Linked DNA regions of Elephas maximus indicus. The protein of the gene in region 2 binds, or shares a complex with, the protein of the main gene of each other region. Links are inferred from orthologs where the notes say so. Each region holds a gene or a part of one and is shown on either strand. Other genes may lie near its edges.

The links.
Region 1: EXOSC8 (region 2) and EXOSC5 share a complex: the UniProt entries of both Homo sapiens proteins name them as parts of the RNA exosome core complex. The link is inferred for Elephas maximus indicus from reciprocal best matches to the Homo sapiens genes EXOSC8 and EXOSC5.
Region 3: EXOSC8 (region 2) and EXOSC4 share a complex: the UniProt entries of both Homo sapiens proteins name them as parts of the RNA exosome core complex. The link is inferred for Elephas maximus indicus from reciprocal best matches to the Homo sapiens genes EXOSC8 and EXOSC4.

The regions. Positions count from the first base shown.
Region 1 is NC_064829.1:109,793,503-109,797,249, reverse strand, and holds the start of EXOSC5 (exosome complex component RRP46), read right to left. Parts: upstream 2,629-3,747; 5' UTR 2,534-2,628; coding exon 2,386-2,533; intron 1-2,385. Other genes in the region: BCKDHA (2-oxoisovalerate dehydrogenase subunit alpha, mitochondrial), read left to right, coding at 2,968-3,135. UniProt on the Homo sapiens protein: Non-catalytic component of the RNA exosome complex which has 3'->5' exoribonuclease activity and participates in a multitude of cellular RNA processing and degradation events.
Region 2 is NC_064832.1:18,315,929-18,319,675, reverse strand, and holds the start of EXOSC8 (exosome complex component RRP43), read right to left. Parts: upstream 2,769-3,747; 5' UTR 2,740-2,768; coding exon 2,705-2,739; intron 1,455-2,704; coding exon 1,418-1,454; intron 1,224-1,417; coding exon 1,160-1,223; intron 521-1,159; coding exon 447-520; intron 1-446. UniProt on the Homo sapiens protein: Non-catalytic component of the RNA exosome complex which has 3'->5' exoribonuclease activity and participates in a multitude of cellular RNA processing and degradation events.
Region 3 is NC_064833.1:815,050-818,796, forward strand, and holds EXOSC4 (exosome complex component RRP41), read right to left. Parts: upstream 2,844-3,747; 5' UTR 2,719-2,843; coding exon 2,548-2,718; intron 1,442-2,547; coding exon 1,235-1,441; intron 1,136-1,234; coding exon 776-1,135; 3' UTR 361-775; downstream 1-360. UniProt on the Homo sapiens protein: Non-catalytic component of the RNA exosome complex which has 3'->5' exoribonuclease activity and participates in a multitude of cellular RNA processing and degradation events.

The DNA.
Region 1 (3,747 bases), on a different chromosome or scaffold from region 2:
ACCAAAAAAAAAAAAAAAAACCCAAACAAACCAGATGCTGTGGAGTTGGTCCTGACTCATGGCAAGTAGAACTGTGCTCCACAGGGTTTTCAGTGGCTGATTTTGGGGAAGCAGGTCACCAGGCCTTTCTTCTGAGGCACCTCTGGGTGGACTCAAAAGTCTAACCTTTCGGTTAGCAGCTGAGAGCGTGAATGATTTGTGTTACCCGGGGACTCCCATCTTCAACCACAGCCCCATTTATCTGATGCTCTTACAGTAAAACTCCCCAAGACTTGCCTTCACTCCCTGTCTCTTCCTCCTCTTCTCCTTGACCGAATAACAAAGCTTTGGACCCCATCCTTCCACTAAAGCAGTCCTTGGCAGAGTCACCTTCCCGAACCTCCAAACTGCCAAACCCATAGGTCTCCTGTGCTCGCGTGGCCCAGCCTCTCAGTAGGACCAACAAGGCTGTCTACCGTTACTTCTCAAACACGTTCTTCTCTTGGCTCCAGGTCCGCCCCCTCTCCGGGTTTTTCTCCTACCTCACAGGCTGCTCCTTCTCAGTCTCTTTTGCTAATTCCTCACATGTCCATGAACTCTCAAAGCTGAAGACCAGGGCTTAGTCCAGGACCTCTTCCCATTTCTATCTCTACTCATTTCAGGAGTGATTCATCCAATCGATTGCTTTAAACACCATCTACAGCCAGAGGATTCCAAAGCGTATATGCCCAACTTGGCTCTCTCCTCTGAATTCCAGAATTGTATCAACAACTGCCCATTGCACATTTCCACTCTGATGTTTAATACCAAAACCCCCAAACCAGTCGAGTTGATTTCAACTCATGGCGAGCCCAGGCGGGTCAGGGTAGAACTGTGCTCCATAGGGTTTACAGTGGCTGACTTTTCAGAAGCAGAAAACCAGGCCTTTCTTCTGAGTGCCTCTGGGTGGACTTGAACCCCAACTTTTCAGTTAGTAGCACAGCATTTAACCGTTTGCTCCACCCAGGGACTCCTGGTATTGCAAACATAACGTTCCAGACTGAACTTATCTTCTGTTGTCACAGCTGATCTGGAGAAAAGCCCAAAGCTTGACTAGAACAGTGGCTTTCAAACCTCCCTGATTCTTTTTCTAGTATCTCCAAACCAAATCATCTGCAAATACTGTTGGTTTTTACCTTCAAAATGCATCTAGGCTCTCACTGCTTCCACCCTGGTCTGAGCCATCACCACCTCCTCCCTACTATGCTCCCTCCAGTCAACAGAGCAAGCAGCTAGAGTGATACTGTTCATATATTCAGACCATGGCACTCCTTCACTCAAAGCCTCCAATGGCTCCCATCTCACTCTCTAGACCTTATATCATCAGCAATTCTCCTTACCACCCTCTGACCCCCTCTCCCACTAACTCCTCTCCACTTGCTGCTCCAGCCACATTGGCCTCCTGACTGTTCCTCAAACAAGGTCTTGTCTCAGGGCCTTTGTCCTTGCTGTTCCCCATGCCTGGTATACTCTTCCTCCTGAGATCTTCAGGTTTGTTCCCTTGCCTCCTTCAGGTCTTTATTCAAATGTCACCTCCTCAGTGAGGCCTTCTCTGACCATCCTATTTAAGATTCTAGTCCTCTGCAGCACACTCTATTCCCCTTCCCTACTTTATTTTTATAGCATTTTACTATATGTTTTACTTATTATTCTTATTTATTGTTTGTCTCCCCCACTAGAATGTAAACCCTATGAGAGCAGGGATTTTTTTTTTTTTAATCAGTTTTGGTCAGGGAGTCAGGCCTAACTTAAGAAGTATTTAGCTCAAGGAAAAAAATATTCGTCCAATAACTATAACTCGCCCCAATCTTTACTCATATGCAGATATGTGTATCCCAGTCAAAGGGGTGTTGACACAATTGGTGGAGCTGGGATGAAGGAGATCTTTCTTAACCCAGCAGTAATTATTAGGATAAAAGGCTGCCACAGCTACGGTCTAGCTCGTGGTGGTGATCTGCCAGTCTATGGGGTATTTATACAGATGGGAGGTTTGCCTCAGCCTGGAATATATGGACCCGGGCTGTGTGTGGGGTGAGGAAGGACGAATCTATTACAGGGAGTTACTTACCCCATGAGAAAGTTTTCCCTATTTTGGAGTATTCATTCTTATGGGGAGGACTGCCCTTCCCTCATCCTGCAAAGTATTTACGAGGGTGGAGATACCTTCCCACTTCTAGTCGGGAGGGAGAGATCTATCCCGGCCTAACCAGTATCCACGCGGGAGACACAATACAAGGGAGACACTTACCAGCTAGTATCGTGGGGAAAAGGGACTCCTCGTTGCACGGTACACTGTAGCCGTCCCCCGCCAAAAACAAACACCGCATGCGCGAACTCTTCCCGGGCAGTATTGACCTGGGTTCTTACCTTGCAGGAAAGAGGCTGAGCCATCCGGCCTGGACAGCAGATTTTGTTCGCAGGCAAAGTGTCGGAGGCTGCAGCCGGGGCCCCCGGGGCCAGCCTCAGCCCCAGGCTCAGTACGGATCTGGGTGTCTACCTGCATCGCCCCCTCCATCACTTGGGATTCCACGTGCAGTCCGCCACTGTAGCTTCCGCCCAGCCATGCGCGCCTGCGTACAAGCTACCCATCCAGTACGCACGCGCCCATCTCCCGGCGCTGCGTCTGGCGGCTGCACGTGGCTCAGCGTTTACCAACACTCTGGCCCCGCCCACCCCCGCCTCTCAACTCCAGGGAAGCCATTGGACAGCGGAGAAGGGGCGGAGCCTGGCATGGTCGCTTTCTTCCCGAGGCCCCCGGGCCCTGAAACCCTGAGGCTATGATTAGGTAGCCCTCTTCTTTGCCTGTTACGGAAGCAACAGCAGTAAGGCGGTCGGAGACTTTTTTAGGAAGCTGTATTGTTTTGTAAACTCATCTCTGCGTCCTAGCGTCGCCAGAAGCGGAAGCAGGTGGTTTCTTGGCAGGGTGGTGCAGGCAGCAGAGTCAGGCTCATGAAGTGGCAGCCCCTGACCCGAGGCGATAGGAGAGCCAAGGAGCAGCTGTTAGCCAAGATGGCGGTGGCGGTAGCTGCGACGAGGTTTTGGGGGCCAAGTCGAGGCCTGGGCAGGGCCGGCCTACTGCTTCTGAGGCGACTTGGGGCTCGGGGAGTGGCCTGCTCTGTGAGTACCTGGGGCCCCCGAGGAGTTTTCTCTAAGTGGGAACAGGCATATAGACGCTGTCTTCATTCAGAATGTGAGGTGCTTGCAGAGAGTGAAGAAAGGACAGTCAGGGAAAGGACAAGGGCTGGGAAAACCACGTGGAGAGGACACTCAAGGAAAGAACCTCCACTTCCTTGGGCGAAGAAAAGCGAGGCAGCCCCTTCGTGGGTTCTGAGGGAGGAGAACTCCTTATGAGTTGTGCCCCACCCCCAGCGCGTCTGCTTGGAAGGATGGGGGAAGGCGAGACAGTTCCCCTCAAAGGTTGGGGAATGAAACTGCCTTAGTAAGGAAAGGTCTTTCTTTTGGGTAAAGAATTCCCTTTATAAAAGAGGAAGGAGAGACCAGATCCCCCTGTCATGGGCTTTTATAAAGCAAAACCAAACCCGTTGCCATCGAGTTGTTTCCGACTCATAGCGACCCTACAGGACAGAGTAGAACTGCCCCATAGGGTTTCCAAGGGTGTAATCTTTACAGAAGCAGATGCCATATCTTTCTCCTGCGGAGCGGCTGGTAGGTTTGCACCGCTGACACCCTTTTGGGTCGCAGTCGAGCGCTTTGATCACTGCGCTACCA
Region 2 (3,747 bases):
ATTCTGTAAAGCACCCAGCAAGGAACCTGCAATACAGCAGGCACTCAGTAAATGGTAGCTATTATCGTGTCACACTTTTCTCTTCAACAATCTCTATGTTCTACACATTTCACACAGATTAAATGCCATCACTGGCTAAAAGAATGCTGCCAAAAATCTCTTAATTTGCAATGACAACCAGTTTCTAAAAATAAAGGGTGGTGAGATTAAAAATAATTTCATTTTGGTACATTTGACAAATGTTCCTAAATTATAACTGAGTCATTAAACTAGGGCTGTATTATGTAACACTCATAGATAGGTAGAAGCTCTTTGAAAATTAAAGTAAATATCAAACAACTGATACCTAGCTACCTAATCAAGAGTAGAATTAGAACAGTATATTACAATCTAATATATGGCACTACTTTGCTAATTCACATCAATAAGATACAGATTAAACCTACCGCTTTAATTCCACAAATTACTGTCGTATTTCCCAGCTTCACTAAAGCAGAACCATCTGCAGTACTAATTGAACCTGAAAAGATATTTAGGTAAAATGAAAAAGTTCATTAAAAAAAAAAAAAAACAGCTACAGAATTATCTATATAATAACTAAAATGTTAACCTCAGTTTTCTAAATATAATATTAGCCATCTACACATCTGTAGTCTGTGGCTTATGAAAATTTATAGCTCAGGAGTCTGATTTTAAAATGCTATAACTATTTAAAATTACTCTTTTAAGAAATATTTGCCTGCCCTTGAATTTGAGTTAATCATTTTTCATGGACAGTCACAGGATCGTTGTGTACATAAATCTAATAGGAAGAAATCACTCCAATTCCATAGACATGGTAGGATTTGGCTGAAATATGTTTAAGTGGCTCACAGGCTAGAACTTGGGCATATCATACAGTTGGAAATGGAAAATACCATATTTGCATCAAGAAGACTGAATAAGTATTAGGCCCATAAGAAAGCCTTGTCTTTGTGGTTTTGAAGGAAGAAAGGGAAAAAAACACTTTATAGTTATTTTGAAATTTAAATGAATTTATCAGTTGAGAGGGTAGTAAACTTACAAATAATTCTCTACTAATATACAAAAACTAAGAAAAATACTATTTTACAAACTGCTTAACATCAACATCCTATTTTAGAACTCAAAATATCCTCACCTACGTTGACAGTGGTGGTTCTGAATTCACCAAGTTCTCTTCCATCAGGACGGCAGTTCTCTTTCTGAATAAATGTAATGTTTATTTATATGAAAATGGAACATATACAGGTATATTTTACACACAATCAGGTAAAACACATTAAACCATGTTAATGCAAAATAAATTCAAATTCAAATTATTTAATTTGAATATCTGAAATTTGTCCTTAAAAGAAGCATATGATATTGTTATGAAAAAGACAGTGACATTACTGACCAAAAATCTCCTGTAATACTCCAGAGGTTCCACGGTTCTGAAATGCATGAGTTAAAAATTTATCAGGCAAATTAAAGAATCTTAACATAAATCCCAAAACTGGCAAGGCTCTTAAGGGTCTGGTGATCCAGCCAATCTCCAAAATTTGTAGCTAAGTTTCTTACATGAATTCTGATGTCTATGTTATCACCTATAAGTAATTATAAAAAACAGAGCCCTATCACAGTAGCAATTGCACTAAATCACTATTCTTCACTCTTCCTTAAACAATTACAGGGTTAGAGACCAAAGCCCTTGGACATCTTTAAAAATGACTTAATCCAGGTGTTAAAATAATCATGCTATTCTTGCTCTAAAGCTGAGATTTTTAACCTAGTGAGCATGAAAAGTTACATTTTTATTTTCACTATCGTATAGGGTCGCTGGAAACCCTGGTGGCGTCGTGGTTAAGTGCTACCACTGCTAACCAAGAGGTCCACAGTTCGAATCCGCCAGGCGCTCCTCGGAAACTCTACGGGGCATTCTACTCCGTCCTAAAGGGTCGCTATGAGTCAGAATCCACTCGACGGCAATGGGTGTACAACGGAAACTTAGTATATCCTTCAATTATGACCACAGACAATAAACCAAAATAACATTAATAGCACCAGTGAGACCCACGGATACGTCCCTTTTACATTTTACTTGTCCAAGGTTTTTTTTTTTTAAGGTACCTTTAGGCTCATCATTACTCTGAAATTCCAGTAATTACTACATTCACCACTAGATCTTGTTTAAGAAACTTCACTTTAAAAAGTACTCGTATTAACAGATACATAAATGTATTACAATATAACTGGCTTCCTTTCTTATTTTATCCTTTTAAAGACATTGTTGTCAGGCGACCAAGGGCTTCACCAGAGCGGCACAGAAAGGTTTAACTCAAACTTCCGAACAAGCAACAATCCTTTTAGAAATAAATAACAAGAAAGGAGAACGAGGCGCGTGTGATCACAACCGGTCTCCCGGGTCTGCACGTCCACCCAGCCAGCTGACGAGCGCTCGCAGGGGGTTCAAGGCTCCGCGCACCCAGACCCTTCCCTCTCCCGTCCCACTGGGGAAAAGTCCCTTTCCTTTCACCGCAACTGCTCTGGTCGCCTGCTTGGGCAGGGAAAGAAGTGTGACCCCGGCGGGGACCGCTTCCAGGTGAAGGAATCCTAGCTATAACGTTGAAGGGGCCGACACCCAAGCCTGCGGCGGCTGCCCCGCTGAACCCAAAAGTCCCGCCCGCGGGCCGCCGACACTCACTTGAAGCCGGCCGCCATCTTCCCGCCGGCGCGCATGTGCGGCGTTGGGTGCGCCTGCGCACTGTGCACACTGAGGCGCGCGCCCTTCGCCCGCCTCGGAGAAAGCGAAAGGCGGGGATGCGCTCGGGGCGGTGGCGGTCTGGGCTGTGCCGGGCCCGGCTTGGGCTCAACTGTCCCTGGCCAGGCTTCCGGTCGCCGTTCTTGCCTTTGATGTGTTTGGTGCCCCTCTTTGGAAGCATGCTGCTAGTTGAGAGTAAAGCCAAGAATTTAAGAGAGCCGAATTTATAACAAAGAATCGAGCGTTGAGTGTGGAGCATTATTTCAAAGTGGCTACGTCCTTTCCCGTCTCCGTCGTGGCCGGGGCCTGCAGCGTGCGTCTCCCCAACACGGGAGAATTACCGAACTTTTTGTGCTGTCGCGGTCAGCACCAGGCTACACTTCAGCAGAGCTGGAGAAGGCTCCGAAGGAGCAGCTTGTGTTGTGTAGACTATGTCGTGGCTCAAGGCCTCCACCACCCTCCTGGTTAGGATTGCTAGATGAAAAACAGGACAGGCCCACTGCTGTCAGTTCCGACTCAGCGACCCTGTAGGACAGAGGAGAACTGCCCATCGGGTCTCCAAGGCCGCAGTGTTGACGGAAGCCGACTGCCACAGCTTTCTACCGTGGAGCGGCTGGTGGGTTCCCACCTCCGACCTTTAGGTTAGCTCCTAAGGTAGAGGACACCCAGTTCAATCAGATAAGCAATATTTTAGTATGAGTAGGCCCAAAATAGTCCCGTTGGCACAGTGGCTAAGAGCTCAGCAGCTAACCAAAATGTGCGCAGTTCGAATCCACCAGCCTTCCTTGGAAACCTGTGGGGCAGTTCTACTGTGTCCTATAGGGTCGCTATGGGTTGGAATCGACCTCAGAGCAGTGGGTTTTGGTTTCTTAACGTTTTTACTTGGGAAATCTGGCAACCATACCAAGAAAGGGCCAGCCTGCCCTGGGCGCTGTGGCCTGCCGTGGCCGCGCGGGGGCGCTGTGGCCGGCGGGCGCAGGCCGGCG
Region 3 (3,747 bases), on a different chromosome or scaffold from region 2:
GGGAATCAGAGAAGGGTTACAAGGGCAGGCGGGTGGAAGGCCGGCAAGTTTGGACACTGTCAGAGCCGAGTGACTGGAGTTGGTGGTTAGTCCAGGTCTCTGGGATTTTAACCCTGGTGCCCGCTGCAGGGGCTGGTGCTCAGGCTCAGGCCGGTTTGTGGCAGGCGGTGGAGCCAATCTTCAGAAAGGAGGTTGTTGAAAGGGAAGCTTGCAGAGGGTGCAGTGGCTGTGGTGTGTGTGTCCGACCAGGGATGGTCAGACCTCGGAGGGAGAAGACACCAGTGAGAGCAGGCGTCTGCTGTACTTTTGGAGCCCAAGAGACATGCAGTCTGAGCCGTGGCCCAGAGGATGTGGGAGATGGCTCCACATCCCCTTGCTGGTACCCACAGCTACTGAGTTCTCTCTCAAGCCCTATGCTCAGGCCCCCTAGAAGGGTGTGGTGGGTGGTGATGTACAAACCCCACAGTGTAGCGGCCTGGCTTTTTCTGCCAGGCCCACGTCAAAGCTCTCTGCCTTCAGCCTTTCCTGGTCATGCTGTTCTCTCCACTGAGACCACCCCCCAGGCCCAGCTCCATCTTTCTCTTCAGGTCTGAAACCTGAGGGTGCAGGAGGTATGCACTTGACATATGGTCGAGGGCCTCTGGTTATCCCAGGAACAAACACCAGGCCAGGCTATGGGGCGTGGAAGCTCTGTGGGGAGGGTGGGGACTGAAGCACAGCAGGGCTCGTGTGAGCAGAGAAGCAGGACTTTATTCAGAGCGTGGTGGCCAGGTGGTCAGTCCCCCAGCAAGACAGAGGCCTCTCGCACATGCTGCCGGACCACACGGTCCAACAGGGTATGTACATCGCGGGCAGCCCGGGCAGCAGCCTCCAGCACCGGCTCCAGGTGGTCCTCGTGCAGCCGGGCGTCCATCTCCAGCAGTGCAATCTGGCCTGAGGCTGGCAGCAGGGCCAGGGCCAGCTGGGGGCCACCAGCTGCTTCCTCCACGTGGCTCAGGTCCGCCAGGGCTGTGCCATCCACAAAGCCAGCTGAGCATGCACACACAAAGTCCCGCATGGGTATACCAGCGTCCATAACTGCCAGGGTAGCTGCGTTCACACAAGCTGCGTAGGTCCCACCATCTGCCTGCAGCACCTGCAGGGAGCCCCCGAGGCCATCGGTCGGTCAGGCTGCTGAACCCTCAGCTCCATCCCCACATCCCTGCCCCCAGGCTGAGGGCTGCTGCCTGCTCACCTGCACATAGATGTCAATCTGGGAACGAGGGTGCAGCTGTGTGAGGATGGCTGCCTCGAAGGTCTGGCGCAGCTGCAGGCCCATCTCGCAGGACTTGCGGTCCCCATGTGGTCGCCGCTTGCGCTCGCCTGTGCTGAAGGTCGCTGAACTGTACTGACAGTTCACCAGTGCCCGGTCAGGCAGGGCTCGTGCCCGGGAGCCCCGGATCTAGGGAGGAAGGGCCCATGAGCCGGACCACTTCTCCCAGCACACGCTTCCCTGTCCTCTGTGGCTCAGGCCCAAACCTCAGCCCCTCCCCCTACCTCCAACGGCTCACCAAAGGGTAGCTACTCACCTCCGAAACACAGCCTGAGGGAGGCCCACTTGGGCAGCCTAAGCCACCATCACCTCTGGCATCACATCTCTCTAAACTGCCTCCCTCTTTCCATCCTTGCCCCACCCACTTCCACCCTCCACGGGGCATCCAGAGTTTATTTACAAACACCAAGTCTGGTTCTCACCTACACACTCACATGTCCTGCTTACCTTCAAAGGCTTCATACCGCGTGTGAAATAAACCCCAAACCTTTCCCTGGTCTACAAGGTCCCGGATCCTCTCCTTCCTGGAAACCCCTCAACCTCATCGGGAATTATTCCTCCTTCGACCAACCAGTAGCCTTTCTGCTCTGCACACACGCTGTGCTGGTTCCCACCGTTCTGGTTCTCTCAGTCTGGAAAGCTGAGCCCCAGACTCATTCGCCAAGCAAACATTTTCTTCAGTGCCTACGCCGCCGTCACTGTGACAGTGCTGGGGGCGCGGCAGAAAAACTAATGGTCCCACCGTGTCCTCGTGGCGTTTATGTTCCAGTGGGGGAGACAAACATAAATTTCATCTATTGAGAAAGTTGATGTTTTCAGGTGATAGGCACAAAAAGGTAGAGAAAGGAATAGAGGTGTGCGCTCGTAGAGAGAATTTGCCACGTGGATAACGGGGTCCGCTACGCTATCATCCGGACGGCGACGGACAAGCCACAGGGCTGAGTGCCCAGGTGGGGCGGTGGGGTGCGCGCGGCACCCGCAGGGACAGCGAACAAGAATGCAGCGCGCAAGGGACAAGGCCGATGAGAAGTGCGGACCACGTGCGGCACCCAAGTGAAGACTTCGGCTTCTACTCCAAGTGAGATGCGGCCCTGACGCCTCTGCTCAGTGAACCGAGGAGCACCCCGCCCCGCGCGCCCCGCGCGCCCCGCGCGGCCCGCGCGCCCCGCGGCTCCCGCCTCGGCCCGATCCCTCCACCTGCCCGGAGGTAGCCCGGCCGGTGCACACCCACTCGCCTCGTGAGGCCCGTAGACCACCGCCAGCGCCTTGGTGTTGCCTTGCTCAATGTAGGCCGAGCCGTCGGCCTGCGCGAACACGCCCATCCGCGCCTGGATCTTGCGCAGCTCCCCGGCTCGCCGCCCGTCCACGCGGTAGCCCTGATCCGATAGCAGCTCCAGCCCCGCCATGCCACTAGGTAGCCAGCCCCGCCATGCCACTAGGTAGCCAGCCCCGCTCGCGGAGAACTACAGTTCCCGGCGGCCCCGCTCCCTACGTCCGACTTCCAGGATCTCGGTTTCCGGCGAGTCCGCGCCCACTTCCGGTCAATTGGACTTGGGTTTCCGGGGGTCGTGTCACTACTTACGACCTCGGGAACTACAGTTCCGAGGGCCCCACTCCGCATTTCAGGTCCCGGGGAACGACCGCTGCACTGGCCCGGGACGGAAGCCTGTGGCCGCGGCCGGTGGCGGAGCCTTCCTGCGGCGGGGCGCTGTTCTGACGGCCCCGGGGCCCTCCCGCTCTGGCCGCCGCTGCGCTTCGGTACACCGGTGGGCAGAGGACGCCCGCCCCAGCCCCGCCGGGCGCACCTCTTTGGCCAGAACCCGGAGGCCCGAGGGCGCCGAGCCTGCGGGTCCAGCTCCGCTCAGTCCCCGGCGCCAACTGGCTCGACTTTGCTGCTTCTTGAGAGGCGCCTTCGAGGTTCTCCGGGCGAAGCCAGCGGTTGTCGGAGTGGAAGCCTCTACTCTGCAAGCAGACCGTTTCCTGTCGTTTCACTTTCTTACCGTTTAGACACAATTTTACATCATACGCATGTGTGGTCCTGTTCTTTGAAGGGCAGTTTAATTTTTTTTTTAAGGAAAAACTATCTATTTTGGATATATATTTTTTTAATTGTGCTTTAAGTGCAAGCTTACAAACCAAGTCAGTTTTTCATCCAAAAACTTACATACACCTTGCTGTATACTCCTAGCTGCTCTCCCTCTAATGAGACAGCACACTCCTTCCCTCCACTCTCCATTTTTGTGTCCATTCTGCCAGCCTCTGACCCGCTCTGCCCTCTCATCTCCGCTCCAGACAGGAGCTGCTCATATAGCCTCATGTGTCTACTTGATCCAGGAAGGTGACTCCTGACCAGTATCATTTCCTGTCTTACAGGCCCTGTCTGAAGAGTTGGCTTTGGGAATGGCTCCTGTCTTGGGCTAACAGAAGGTCTGGGG